2 linked regions of the Nothobranchius furzeri genome follow. The protein of the gene in region 1 interacts with the protein of each later gene in a biochemical or structural test. Links are inferred from orthologs where the notes say so. Each region holds a gene or a part of one and is shown in the gene's direction. Other genes may lie near its edges.

The links. The genes of interacting proteins can lie anywhere in the genome.
Region 2: of the proteins of mettl22 (region 1) and kin, one has a biochemical effect on the other in vitro, tested with the Homo sapiens proteins (2 studies listed by BioGRID). The link is inferred for Nothobranchius furzeri from reciprocal best matches to the Homo sapiens genes METTL22 and KIN.

The regions. Positions count from the first base shown.
Region 1 is NC_091758.1:12,613,662-12,621,253, forward strand, and holds the start of mettl22 (methyltransferase-like protein 22), read left to right. Parts: upstream 1-3,257; 5' UTR 3,258-3,364; intron 3,365-3,961; 5' UTR 3,962-4,063; exon of another isoform or gene 4,064-4,109; intron 4,110-7,592. UniProt on the Homo sapiens protein: Protein N-lysine methyltransferase. Trimethylates KIN at Lys-135 (in vitro).
Region 2 is NC_091741.1:35,926,634-35,934,277, reverse strand, and holds kin (DNA/RNA-binding protein KIN17), read left to right. Parts: upstream 1-2,457; 5' UTR 2,458-2,588; coding exon 2,589-2,702; intron 2,703-2,799; coding exon 2,800-2,894; intron 2,895-2,981; coding exon 2,982-3,025; intron 3,026-3,094; coding exon 3,095-3,217; intron 3,218-3,687; coding exon 3,688-3,872; intron 3,873-3,948; coding exon 3,949-3,997; intron 3,998-4,073; coding exon 4,074-4,119; intron 4,120-4,201; coding exon 4,202-4,331; intron 4,332-4,407; coding exon 4,408-4,536; intron 4,537-4,604; coding exon 4,605-4,704; intron 4,705-4,785; coding exon 4,786-4,886; intron 4,887-5,491; exon of another isoform or gene 5,492-5,531; coding exon 5,532-5,591; 3' UTR 5,592-5,826; downstream 5,827-7,644. Other genes in the region: atp5f1c (ATP synthase subunit gamma, mitochondrial), read right to left, coding at 1,438-1,472, 1,816-1,856; itih2 (inter-alpha-trypsin inhibitor heavy chain H2), read right to left, coding at 5,889-6,036, 6,112-6,223. UniProt on the Homo sapiens protein: Involved in DNA replication and the cellular response to DNA damage. May participate in DNA replication factories and create a bridge between DNA replication and repair mediated by high molecular weight complexes.

The DNA.
Region 1 (7,592 bases):
AGGGTAGCTTCCCTCAGCCTTCGTGTGGGGGGATGGGTCCTGACTGTGGTTTGCTGCAAACTACAGCTCAGATTACCCACCCTTTTTGGAGTCCCCAGAGAGGGTGCCGGAGGGCGCTCCTTCTGGTGACTCCCTCGTTGTCCTGGGGGACTTAAATGCTCATGTGTGCAGCGATAGTGAGACCCAGAGAGGTGTGGTTGTGAAGAATGGTCCCCCTGATCTGAATCAGAGCTCGTCCATAATGAACACCAAGTTTAAGCATAAAACATAAAACCATATGTGCTCTTGAAGCGGAGCTGTCATCTGACCCCTACCTGGTGGTGAGTTGGCTTCGATGGTGGGGGAGGATGCCGGTCAGACCTGGCAGACCCAAACTTGTTGTGAGGATCTGCTTAGCTCCAATTCTCACCAGCGACAGAAATTCGAACATGTGCCAGGGGAGGCGCGAGACATTGAGTCCGAGTGGACCATGTTCCGTGACTCCATTGTTAAGGCGGCTGACTGTAGCTGTGGCCACAGGGTCATCGGTTCCTATCATGGCGGCTAACCCCGAACCCGCTGGTGGATACTGGAGGTTAGGGATGTTGTTAAGCTGAAGGAAGAGTCCTATCAGGTCTTTTAGCCTGTAGGACTCCAGAGGCAGCTGATGGTTATCACGCCAAGCGGAATGTAGCTCAGGTGGTCGCAAATGCAAAAACCCGGGCATGGGAGGAGTTCAGTGAGACCATGGAGCAAGACTCCCGGAACAGCTCTGCAGTATTGCGTGGACATCTGGGGCAGTTCCACTGGACTGGCCGACCGGCGTGGTGGTCCCCCTATTTAAAAAGGGGGACTGCGGAGTGGGTTCCAACTACAGGGGATCACACTCCTGAGTCTCACCGGAAAGGTCTATTCAGGGGTTCTGGAGAGGAGGGTCCATCGGATTGTTGAACCTCGTATTCAAGAGGACCAATGTGTTTTTCGTCCTGGCCGTGGAACACTGGACCAGCTCTATACCCTTAGGGGGTCCTGGAGGGTGCGTGGCAGTTTGCGCAACCAATCTACATGTGTTTTGTGGATTTGGAGAAGGCGTTCGACCACGTCCCTCGGGGGGCCCTGTGATATATGGGGTACCAGGCCCTCTGATACGGGCTGTTAGGTCCCAGTATGACCGATGTCAAAGCTTGGTCCGCATTGCTGGCAGTAATCTGGGCTCATTCCCGGTGAGAGTTGGACTCCACCAAGGCTGACCTTTGTTATCAATTTGGTTCATAACTTTTATGGAGGTGCAGCCAAAGTGTTGAAGGGATCTGTTTTGGTGGCCTAAGAATCGGGTCTCTGCTTTTTGCAGATGATGTGGTCCTGTTGGCTTCATCAGAACAGGATCTCCAGCTTTCGCTGGAACGGTTCGCAGCAGTGTGAAGTGGCTGGGATGAGAATCAGCTCCTCTAAATCTGAGACCACGGTCTTGAATCAGAAAAGGGTAGAATGCCTTCTCCAGGTGGGTGCTGCGTCTGCAGTGATGCGGGCGTTGTACCGGTCTGTCGTGGTGAAGAGAGAGCCGAGTTGGACGGCGAAGCTCTCAATTTACCGGTCGATCTATGTTCCTACCCTCACCTATGGTCATGAGCTTTGGGTAGTGACCGAAAGAACGAGATCGCAGATGCAAGCGGCTGAAATGAGTTTTCTCTGCAGGGTGGCTGGGCTCTCCCTTAGAGATAGGGTCATCTGAAAATTAAACACATTACATATGGTTCAATTAAGGGTAAATAAATAATAATGTTTGTGTAGATTGTCAGCAATACTTCTACTAAAGGGCCTGTATTTGTATAGCGCCTTCTTAGGGTTTGGCAACCCCCCAAAGCACTTCACAGCACAATCAGTCATTCACCCATCCACACACTGGTGATGATGAGCTACGATGTAGATACAGCTGCCCTGGGTGCACAGACGGGGGCGAGGCTGCCAAGCACTGGTGCCACCGGTCCGTCAGGTAAGGACATAACAGCAGCAATCCCTGGTGGGAGCCGGGATCTAACCCGCAACCTTTCAGTTACTGGACAACCCGCTGGTACAACAACAACTAATACTACTACTACTACTACTACTGCTACTGCTACTACTACTATTACCACTACTACCACTACTACTACTATTACTACTATTACTACTACTACTGCTACTACTACTACTACTACTATTACTGCTGCTGCTGCTGCTGCTACTACTACTACTACTACTGCTACTACCACTGCTACTACTACTACCACTACTACTACTACTACTACTACTGCTGCTGCTGCTACAGATGAGGAAACAGGGTTTCATCTTATTATGCTTTGAATCTGATTGGTGAATTCTGGAAGGAAAAACACAGAAATTGGAAAATTTATAAAATATTATTTTCTGCAACAAATTCCAATTAATATTTTATCTTTTATTTGACTGCTATTGTTGCTGTTGGAAAGTGAGAAATTTTGGTGAAAGAAAAAGTGAACTTTAAAAATAGGTGGAAGTGAGCGCACCTGTGGGGAATACATACGCGCGCTTACACACACACACACAGAGAGTATATATATTCCAGGTACTCTTCAGAATCTAATGAAATCAGAAAAATGGGTGATCCGAGGCACTCTGAGGAGCGTGTTTATTAGAGCAAGAAAAAGCCGACATCCTGTTAATGCCCTGAAGAAGGTCGTATGTGACCCAAACACATCAGCATTTTCATGCTCAATTAAAAACACTTCTCAGAGTGCCTCGGATCACCCATTTTCCTTCCTCATCCATATCCAATGAGAAAGCGAACTTTGAATGATAAATAAATTGTGTTGCAATATATGTTAAGTAGTAAACATTAAATACAATGATTTACTATAATTAGCAGTTTCAAATTTATTTATTAAAACAAATTTTTAGAACTTAAAAAATGCTTCCAGCAGGAGAATGGATTGGCTTCATGAGTGTACTAAACTGTTCCATCCATCCATCCATCCAGAGTTGCATCCAGAGGCGCAGACCTCGCTCTACCCAGCCACGGACAGCATGTGGCAGCAACACGCCACTGCGGCTCCTGTTCTACTCTGAGACAGAAACGAAGAACTGTGCTGCGTTTGGACCAACCAGAAGCTACAAGATTTTTCAACTTCGTTCTAACTAGAGACATATAAAAAAAGGCGCAGTCGTATTCATACATCACATAGGGTTTATAAGCTATGCTCCGATAGCATATTAAATAAATAAATTGAATTAATAGTGTGTTTTGTGCTTTCTGCGCTCTCGTGTCACCTATCTACACAAATCAACTCACTTAATTCGACGAACTTCCTATTATCGAGGAACGGCAAACGCAGCATTATGTTGTCTTGTATGAGCCCTACCATCGTTGGTGAGTCCCCATGTCCCCTGGTGTTGATGTTACTCATTTAACCTTGTGTGGTTTGATGCTCACCAGTACAATAAACACGTTTATGTGTGTGTGGTTTATACACGCAGACGGAAAGATTAGCGGCGTTAGCTAGGAGCTAACTGACGATGTGAGCAGCGGGGGGGCGGAGCCTACAGTTGGCGTGATAAAATGAACCGGGTCCAAACATCTCTATTTATAGTGGTTAACTTGGACACAAGCATGTTTCTGCACAGCGTGTATTTTTCTTCACACAGAACGGTGTTCAATAAACAACTTACAACAGGGGGTGCACATCTGGGCAGGCATGCTCTTTTCGGCACAACACCTGTCCTAACAGACTCTGTTTTCCCATCATGAGTCTGCCTCAGTTCCTTACAACTTTATTTTAATACATTTCCCAAAGATGTGTTACACAATCTGAAGGGTTTAAGATAAACCCAAGTGTTTTACATGTTACTGCTACAGTTCTTTATGATGGTAGTTTGTTTAGGTTCTAAAACCATTTAAAATATGGTCAGAAAAAGCACACTTCAAACGTCATCTTCCCTGAAGAATCTCTTTTCTCTAAACCTTCAGCCTGAGCTTTGGACAACCAGCACCTGATCCAAGGTTTGAGTCACTGGGATTCACCAGACTGGTTGTCTTTCTACCAAAGGAGGTTACCCAAAGGTGTTTAAGGTGCATTATACAAGAAGGAAGTAAGAATGACGTCCCGTGGTCACATGTGGGTACTGCAGTCCATTTTTATAAATAAAACGAGACCTTTTCACTGCACATGAGTTTCAAGGCTGTATCCAGTTACAGATCAGTGCCAAAAGATTCTAGATGATAAACAAAGATGAGTCATACACAGAAAAAGCATTAATATAAGAAGACAACCCATCCAAATTGTCCTTTAAGTTTCACTTTAATTTATTTAGGAAGTACACAATTAAAAACTTGTTTATATTGTGAATATACTTAAAAGTAGCAGCGTTGCTCTTATTTCAAGTTGTTTACTCCCTCAGTATGCAGCTGTGAGCCGTGTTCACATGATGGAGCGGGCAGGCGGAGCCTTCGGCAGTCAGGGTAGCTTTTCTCTGCACAACACCGGTAGCTCCAGCGAAGGAGAACTAGAACCTCCATGTTTTGCAGTCTTTTGACAATTTCTGTTTGTTCATTAGTGCAGCTTTCTCTTTTGGCTGGCTCTGTGTTTTTGTCTGACTTCACTGTGACTGCTGGAGGTACACTGGGGGTTCATGGAGACCGGTGATTTGCTTTTTTGATGCCCGAAGGGAAAAGCCAAAAGTAGCTTGTTTGAAGGCAGCGAATGATGGAGCTGTGTCCAACATGTTGAATGCTCAGTTGCACACATTACAGGTGTTTGTAGCTGTGCCTTTGCTGTCCGGTTTAAAATACCACCAAGGTGCAGATATTTTAGCTCTCCTGAGGAGACGCGTTAGCTCTGTGTTAGCAGGTTTGCTAACAGCGGCACTTGGTGTCTGAGTCCTTGCCTGCCATTAATTGTGTGACGTTACTGTGTTGTTTTCATACAAGAAACAAATATTATTAATGTAGAGGGACTTATTGAGATTTAAACAAAGCCATTTTTATTCAATTTGAAAATCTCAGGATGAATTTAAAAAGTCATGTTTGCTGTTTGTTTTAAAAGGTTAAATCCGATTTTTTTTCTCCCGATTCTGATCCTTCCAATCAAAAACGTGATCGGGTCCGATTTCCAATCGGAAATCAGATTGGAGCATCCCTAGCCTAGTGAACTAGACCAAATTCTTGCTTTGCAAAGTTTGGTCTAGGCATGCTCCATTGGAACCTCTGCAGCTCCTACCAGGACTCTGGCTAGCCAATCACAGCTATCTAGAGGGGTTTCAAACACATAAAGAGCTGTGATTGGTCCATAATGGTGGGCCAATCATAATGCTCTATCTGCTTAGTGAACAAATCACAGAGCTTTATCCGCTTTGTGGGCCAATCAGGGCACTCTATATGCCTGGTGGGTGGGATGATGCAACAGAGTGAAACAAGAGTACGTCACATTCATTGTCCAGTGGAATGCGGAGATCATTTGAAAGACAACGGTAGAACCCGCCCCACAACAGAGAGCCGTCAATGGAGCGTGGCCAGACTAAATAATACATTTATTTAGTCTGGCTTGCCAGGCTAGAGCATCCCTAGTTTTTATGGCTGTTTCTAAGCAACTGTTTAATAAACACTCCGTAATCTGTTACCTAATTAAAAGGGATTGCGGTAAACTCCAGTATTGTCTGTTTCAGCTCCTGTTTTAAGCCGTTGATTACTGATCCACTTCTGCCGCCCCAACTTGGTCGCTTTGCTCGGAGAATAACTTGTTGCTCCATCCCAAGGTCATGTCTGAAGACGAGGGGAGATGGGGCTTTCTGCGTGGCTTGACTGAAGCTCTGGAATGCCCTTCCACTAAAAGTTAGGGCCTCTACTTCTGTGGTGGTTTTCAAAGCAAGACTGAAGACTCATTTCTATGATCTGGCTTTTCACTAGTCTTATTCCTTTACGTAATCTGACCTTGTTTTATTCTTGGTTTCTATCTTGTTTTAGCTTGTTTTTAGCTCAGTTGTTTTTTGAATGTTTTTAATCGATATTGTTTTGTAAAGCACCTTGGTGGCATGCCCTCGTCTGTGAGGCGCTATATAAATTGAAGCCAAGTTGAGGTAGAGCGGGTTGTCCAGTAATCGGAAGGTAGCAGATTCAATCCGGGTTCCGGACAGAGAATACCGCTGTCGTGTCCTTGGGCAAGACACTTAACCCACCTTGCCAGCTGATGGTGGTCGGAGGGACCGGTGGTGCCTGTGCTCTGTCTCTGTAGGTGTGCCTCAGGGCAGCTGAGGCTACTTTGTAACTCATCACCATCAGTGTGTAAATTGATGAATGATACTCTGACTTCAAAGGCCCTATACTGTCACGAGTTGGTGTAGGAGGATGATTTAGGACCCAAGATGCAGATACCAGATGAACGAGGCAGAGGTGGAGGATAAAGTAAAAATCCTTTATTAAGGTAGTAGTCCAAAGGCAGGGAGCCAAAAACCAAAAAATCCAAAAATCTAAACTGAGTCATCAAAAACACTAGAGAACTAGAAACACTGGAAGCTAGGAACAGGTATGAGACAAGACTGACAAGAATCACCAAAACACCGCTGACAAACAACAATGGACCGACAAGACACTGAGACAAGACCGGGCTTAAATAAACTGGGGCATGATGGGAAGCAGATGAGCTGCAGGTGTGTGGGGAGAGGACCAGGTGAAAGCAATACTTAATCAGGGAGGGAACTCATATGACCTAAGAAAAAACCTAAAAACAAGAAAAGCAACCACATAACTAATATTCTAAAGGGAAGGAGAACTACAAAGACTGGTGGGACAAAACATATAAAAGAGACTAATAAAATGAAAAGCTGAAACTATAAACACTGCAGAGGGATGACTGGAGAAGACTTAAAGGAACACAGGACCTGAGAGATATATTTGGAAGGCTGAAGACCAGGGGACAAATGAGGAACACAAAGAGACACATAAATGAGATGCAGACAAAGGACACAGGAGGGCGCTATGAAACAAAAGGAGAACCTGGAGTGGGAACTGGAGGGGCTGGGGAACAAAGGGACACAGAACATAACATATACAAGTGCGGGTGGCTTTGTCCGGATTAAAGTGACTGTAATAACCGTAGACCGCTAGAATTGCGGAAGTTTAATACCCAGTCAACAAAGTAAGTTGCGTTCTGTGCAGCGCCGGCTGCTTCTTGACCCCCATCTGCATTTAGTGACGTAGATGCAACATCATGTGAAACTCAGAAATGTTGAAGCGTTGTTTGCTGCTGAGGGACTCTTAAAGAAAGTAAAACGCCACAACTGATTTATTATTCACTTCACACATACATTTCACTGTAATATTCAGTTGTTATTGTAATTGTATGCCATTGTGACCATTGTATTGTAATTGAAAAAGTAGCTTGAGCTATTTTTAGAACGGCCTACTTGCTCCTAATTCATCGTTAGCATTTTTAGCCCAACATTAGCCTCTAGTCTTCTCCCCCGATATTAGAGTAAAACAGAAAGATGTTGTGGATTCTTAGGAGTACAAGAAAGAACTTCTGGATTTCATGTTTTGGTTCTTTAAACAACTCTGGAGCTTTTGCCTGCTGGTGTTAAATCACAAATGCAGGTGCTGCAGCATT
Region 2 (7,644 bases), on another chromosome or scaffold:
CCGTGTTGTGAATCATGCGCTTGCCAAATTTAGCACGTCTGTTTATAAGAATGTTCTCGTTAAGAGAAAAACGGCACAAACCCATAACTGTGTTCCTCATTCAAAAAAGGACAACTCCGCGGAGAAAAATATACAGACGAGCTGTGTCCAGGTGAATATAACGCGGCATAGTTGTACGCTTTCAATTTTTAAATACAGGAGAAATTCAGAAAGTCCTTTTTTTAACTATTAAAAGGCTGTTTTACTATCTAACGCTGTAAAACGCCTCACAACACATTTTTGTCAAAATAAATGATCACTGTATATTGTTAATTAATTCAAATAATGTAATATTGATTTAGTGTTGTAGTGTGTGTGCTGCTTTATTTTATATGTGTACTTAATTCAGTTTATTTGTGTTTCTTATGCAGAAAAAAAACAAGCAACGATGGACAACTACATGGGGAACAAGACACTCACCCCCAGCAATGCATACCACTTACAAACTCTATTCCAGATTCTACATTATTTTTTATGGAATTTACCTCTTATATTTTGATGCCAAAAAATTATTCTGGACTGATATTTTGCACTGTTTAGCTCATTTTACACTGCTGACTGTGGTCATGTGCAATAAAATAGATTGCAGTCAACTGCACAATTCTCTTATGTTTTTCTTTTTCTTAACTGAAATGTATTCATCACTTGTATAGGTTAAATAGCTTAACAATAACAAACCGATTAATCGATTAATCGAAAAAATAATCGACAGATTAATCGATTATGAAAATAATCGTTAGTTGCAGCCCTACAACATACCTCCATTATTTTTATTATGATTCTACAGCATAGGGTCTAAGAATTTCTCCAAACTCAATCCTGATGGGAGAACCTTGTTTTGCACACTCACTCCGTGACTGGACCGGCAGGTTCTGGTAGCAGCTCTTCTCTGCTTTTATAGCAGCCGTATCTGACCAGCTTTTGCTAATGTGGAAAATCAGTTGATGCCTGCGTGCATTCTTAAATAATTCCTGCATGTGAAAACGACTTTTGATTTAGTTCTGTTCCTTGATAGGCCCGTGCATTTTAATTGACATCTGCATTAATTGTAGTGTAATAAAAATAAAATATCCCATAATTTATATTCACATTAATATACACTGATTTATGCATGTAAAAATAAAAAGGAGCTGTATCATAAATCATAGAACCCCTAAAATTAATATTTGACACATTTATGTTTAATTCTTTTTTTAAATCCTTTGTAAATATACTAATCTGAGCTCCCAATATGCATAAAATCAAGTGTGAACGTCTTACTAACTCGACTTGAACCCACTATTTTGATAAAACCTATTAAAACCTGTGTTGTACAAACACACCTTAGATTCTGCTCAGGTTACAGTCTTAATTTAAACAACAATATGATGTGAGTGTGAAGTATTCATCAGTACTTACTGTCCTTCAAGGTAGCCATGTTCCTGACCTGCCCACTGTAAACAACAATAATGCATGTGAGCAGACGCTGACGGGTTAACAACATGGTAAAAGGTCATTAACAAGTCTAGGGTTATGACCCGATGCTAACTGCTGTTAATTAAACACGATTTAACATTAAACAGGCAGCTATGCTAGCATTAGCACCTAGCCGGCTATGGAAATCCATTCGCACCGCCGTCATTCATCAGCCGCGGCCTACATGCTAGCACGTCCTTCCACGCAAAAGATTGCCCGCGTTACAACGTAGAAGCTGCCCACTCACTTCAAACAAGCCAAATCAATGAATTCATTAATAAAAGCGCAACAAGAGCAGTTGTCGAGGTATATTTGCGTTACCATTGTGGGGAAAAAACCAACGCGCTGGTCCTGGCGAACATGTTACCACTATGAAGGTCAGACACGCAGAACTGCGCAGGCGCAAAGAAAAGTCGGTGGTAACGGAGGTTGCCTTCAGTGAACTCTGGAAATTGTATTCACATCAAAATTCAAGGGAAATGCCGTAAGAAGCCTTTTTTAAATCACTGTTTTTGTGTGTTTTTTTTTTTGTTGCCAGTGTCGCACAATGAGAAGTTCAATAACTTCAATAATAAAAGCGAACATAATTATCAAAAAGCTATGTTCATTTCATTTTCACAAACAGTTATAGAAAGTCATTTGCCTTTTAAACAGGAAAACGTTTAGCCAAGTGAACTAGACCAAATTCATATATACAGGATAGCTTGCCATGCTAGAAAAATGTTTGGAATGTCTAGTAGAAATTAATCCTTGGTCTCAGACTGATTAACCTGTAAAGTTTACATTAATTTAAATTGAATTAATAAATGCTTGTTTTTTGGTGACTCAAATGTGGCGTCTATTGAATCCGATTAATTAATCATACAAATTTCAGTTACAACGAGTTTAAATGATATACGTAATTAATATTATTTAAAAATTACGAACAGTTCTTGAATGTTACACCAAGTATCGCGTGATTCTACGGTTTTTCGCGAGGTTAGAAGACGGAAACGGTTTGTCAGTTGTGTACTAGCAGCAGTTGATTGTTCTGTCGAATTTTTAGCCTTTAAGCGAGTGTTTTTTGCTGCAGTTGTTTGGTTTTAGTTTTCGCCATGGGAAAAGCAGATTTTCTGTCGCCGAAGGCCATTAGCAACCGAATAAAATCTAAAGGTCTCCAGAAGTTGCGGTGGTATTGTCAGATGTGTCAGAAACAGTGTCGAGATGAGGTGGGATTTTGATGAAATTCGACAAAAATGGTGTTATTCTCGATAATGGACGAATTAAAGTATTTGTTTCTGCCTTTTTTATTTATTTGTTTAACAGAATGGCTTCAAGTGCCACTGCATGTCAGAGTCCCATCAGAGACAGCTGCTGCTAGCTTCAGAGAACCCTATGAAGTTCATGGACTACTTCTCAGAGTCAGTTTATCACAGACGTGATGTAAAGACAAACACATCTGAATGTTTTTAGTAAAATGGAGCACATTTGTGTCGCTTCTCTTACAGTGAGTTCAAACGTGACTTCTTGGAGCTGCTCAGAAGGCGTTTCGGTGAGAATTGTGAACCATCTGCAGATGTGTCAGGGACATCTTTGTTCTGATTGTCCTCTTCGTTATCAGGAACCAAGAGAGTTCACAACAACATTGTCTACAACGAGTACATCAGCCACCGGGAGCATGTCCACATGAACTCCACGCAGTGGGAAACTCTCACCGACTTCACCAAATGGCTCGGCAGAGAAGGTAAAACGTCACTGATCAGAAAGCATCTGGGATTTTACAGGATCTCTGTCCACTTTCTGGATTTTTGTCTCCGTTACAGATGCTGTAAAAACAGGCAGAAATGAGGAAAAGAGACCAAGAAGTTGGGATTTGTAAATAAAATTCTCTGAACTGAAAATCAGACGGACAACTTTAAAAATATAGTTCATATTTTCATGATAATTTCTATAATTTGGAGAATATCCTTCAAATGAATATCATAGCCTCCTTTTTATTTAACAGTTTTTCAGTTTATCATTTGTAAAAAAAATTTATTTTTCCTCTAAATCAATTTGCAGCTACTTTAAGCGTCGGATTAGGAGTTGGTTTTGTCTACTTACTAATAAATTTGTAAAGTTTCACATCAAATCGTGAAACTAAATGCACCTTTGGATCGTCAGGTTTGTAATAGTGAAAAGAATTTCTGCTGATCTGTTGGAAATCACCCTCAGGTTTGTGCAAAGTGGACGAGACCCCTAAAGGCTGGTACATCCAGTACATCGACCGTGACCCAGAGACCATCCGGCGCCAGGAGGAGGAGGCCAGGAAGAAGAAACAAGAGCTGGACGATGAGGAGCGGAGCGCCAAGTTCATCGAGGAGCAGGTCCGCCGAGGCCGAGACGGAAAGGAGACCGACGTGAGTGCAACAGGAAGCTGAGACCGAGCTCGGCTGCGTTCAACAAAAGTAATGCTTCTTTTTACATATTCTGCAGGAAGATCCGGTTTACACTGAGCTCAAACGTGAGAACGAGGAAGAAAAAGGTTGGTCCTCTTCTCTTGTGCAGTCATAGCTTTAGCTACAAATGTGTTTTTGTACTAAACTTCTTTTCCCTTCCAGTTGCTTTCAACCTCAGCGCTCCTGTAGCTTGCTCCTCCAAATCAGGGTACGGATCACCTCGTTGTCCTCCACATGACTAAATCTGGGGAGCGTTCTGCCTCTGATTACCTCTTTGTGTCTGCTGCTAGCTCTGCTCTGAGTGCCAGTGCTCTGAAAGCATCATCATCATCATCCTCAGTCAAACGCAAAGATGCACCCTCCAGCTCCAACTCCAAAACAGAGAAGAAGAAGAAATCTGCACTGGAGGAGATCATTGAGGTTGCGTTTGGTGTATTTGTTTGTTTACCGTTTGGTAATCAGACGTTCTGATGTGTGGTTTGTTTGTTTTTTCCAGATGGAGGAGAGGAAGAGACAGCACTCCCCTGCTGTCAGAACCGATTACTGGCTGCAGCCAAACATCGTAGTTAAAGTCGTCACCAAGAGGCTGGGAGAGAAGTACCACAAGAAGAAGGCCGTCGTCACGGTAACAAAGTGATGTCTTTATTCCAGTTGTTTCAAAAGTATTCGTTGCTAAACTTGTTCTGGCGGCAGGAGGTCCGAGACAAATACGCCGCTGTGGTGAAGATGATCGACTCCGGCGACAAGCTCAAGCTGGACCAGAACCACTTGGAGACGGTCATACCCGCCCCAGGTCGGCCATGTTTTTAACCCAAGGAAACGTTCTAAATCACTGGATGTGAAACTGTTGATTCCATCGTGAAACGTTCTACAGGGAAGCAGGTTCTGATCCTGAATGGTCCGTACCGGGACACGGAGGCCGTCCTCGAGGGGATCGACGAGAAGAAATTCAGCGCCAAGCTCACGCTCGATTCTGTACGCATTAAAACGGCTTCATGCCCAAGTTTCACCAGATTTCATTGTTTAATTTTAAAGTGGTTTTGATCTTTGTTCTCGATCAGAAAATCGGTTCATTAATTTGATTTTCAGCCTCTTAACTCAGATCTGAATCGTTCAAGCTAACCTAGCCTCCCTGTTAACCGTAGTTGGTCACAAACACATAATTAGTCGTACTTTTTATTTGGTACACCTGTAAGAAGGCTAAACACAGCGACGGTGGCACAGGAGGTAAGTGCTAGCCCCGAAATCGGAAGGTTGCAGGTTCGAGCCCCGCTCAGTCTGTCGCTGTCGTTGTGTCCTTGGGCAAGACACTTAACCCACCTTGCCTGCTGGTGGTGGTCGGAGGGACCGGTAGCGCCTGTCCTCGGCAGCCTCGCCTCTGTCAGGGCGCCCCGGGACAGCTGTGGCTACATCGTAGCTCATCCCCACCAGTGTGTGAATGTGTGTGTGAATGGATGAATGACTGATTGTGTTGTAAAGCACCTTGGGGGGTTCCAGGACTCTAGAAGGCGCTATATCAAATACAGGCCATTTACCATTTATAGAAAGACTCACAAAAAGATGTCATTTGGCTCCAAACGTGATGTTTTTGGGGTTGATTTTTTATTTCCTGTTTCACAGGGTCATCAGAAAGGAGAGAGAGTGGACGTCGCTTATGAAGATTTTTCCAAGCTAGCCTGAAGATGAAACATCTCGAGTCGTAGAACTGAGGGACTCTACTGTGTCAGAGTTCATTCCCAGATGCTTTTGTACAAAGACACTTTCAACAACCAACTAGCTTCAGAAATCAAACCGGTTTAGAAGATTATGTTGAATTTGTTTGATTCTTTTAAAAAAAACAATTTGATATTTTGTTTAAAAATGTAAATTTTGTTCAAATAAATGCAATAAATTTGCTTTCTGCTTTGTGGAAAAACCCAGGTGACATCATTAGGAAACACATCGTGGATGGTTGTGGGTTTTTAAGGATGTGTGTGTTCAAAACATCTGGAGGAAGCTGTTCAGATCTGGAACGATGTATTGGCTGTAATGTCCGTCGATGAATCCCTTTCCGCTGTTATGGATGAACCAGCAGAAGATGTTGGACCCATGCTTTCGGTCACGTCTGTAGTCTTTCTGCCAGCCCCTGACACACACACACACACAGATTTAGGCTTGCAGGAAGTCTTCACCATCTTGTTTTTGACGTGTGATGGAGTACCTGGTGACGAGCAGCTTGTTGCCCTTCACCTCCATCGTGGCCTCCTTCTTCAAGGGGTCGGCTCCTTCGTGGATGTCATACAGACTCATCTCAGGTTCTTGTGAAAACTGCCCTGTGACATCACAGTTTTAGTTTCAAACTTTGGTGAAACAACTAAACAGTTTTCTGTCATAACTTATAACATTTGATTTTAGTTAATGTACCACTAGAGAGCGCTATAATTCTTTAGATCCACAGAATTAGAACTGCATGATAATTCAGTAATTCAATCCATCTATCAATAAACATGTGGTGCGATAGAAAATAAAAATGGGTCAATAAAAAAAGTTTCCTTTTTTCATTATAACCTATCACGTAGCAGCATGCTAGACTCACTACTTGCTCCTAACCAATCAAAACCACAGACTGGGGCACGCTGCGTCACCAGGCCCTCCCCTCTCAAACCAAAACAACAGGAGGCAGTGAGAAAATGGCCAGGGCTGCTCGTAAAATATTTTAAACTATTTTAAAAATGTTTTTCAATAATTATCGATCAATATAAATTTTTTTATCAATATACTTTATTTCTATATTGTCCAGCCCTACTGCAGAGCTAAGTCTTTGCTAGCGCTATGGTTGTCGATTTGTAGGCTAAAAAGCTCCAGACGTCATGTGACTCAGAGTAGACGCCATGTTGGCAGGCAGCAAAGGTAAACAAAATGAACGGGATCGGCTTGGATTTTACTCCGTCAGAGTTTACTTCACACTTTAAAACCGAAGAAATCGTTTTATATAGTCAGAAATTAAATAGACTAAACATCTTCGACCCTTACCGTGCCCCTGGGATACTTTTTAAAAACGCCAGAAGCTGTCGGAGCAGACCTGGCCAGGGAACCCCTTGGGATTTCCCCGAAGGAGCTGGCCCAAGTGGCTGGGGAGAGGGAAGTCTGGGCCTCTCACCTTAGGGTACTGCCCCCACAACCCGACTCCGGATAAGCGGATGAAAATGGATGGATGGATGGACAAATAACAGATTTAAATGTAAGTAGTTTAAATAGAGTGCTGTGCTGTTTGAATGTATAAACTAGTCTGATTTTTTTCTGTGAATAAAATAAATATGTCAGGCAGGAGCGTCTTAGGATCTGTATGAGATCTGACTCGGTGAGACAGAAATAGCAATCCAAAGTGCTTTTTATGTGTGATCTGACAATTGATCAACCATTGCTTAAAAATGAAATACAGCATAGCCGGTTAGTTGCTGTGATCATAAAACACGTAAACGGCAGCACGCAGAACTCACGAGGCAACGTTTTATGTGATGTTTACTTGTTGCTATGAGTAATAAGACAGAAAAAGCCACGCCAAAATAAGTTTAGGAAGCCCACTAAGAATCGTAATAAAAGCATTTTAAATAAATACCATACACAGTTGAGGAAACGTTGGTTTAAGTACCTGATATGAAGCGGTCGCTGCATAAGCGAAAACCTTTGCTCTCGGGGTTCCACAGCTTCATTTCAGCCCGGTCACTAGCGCGTTTTACTACAATGATCCAAC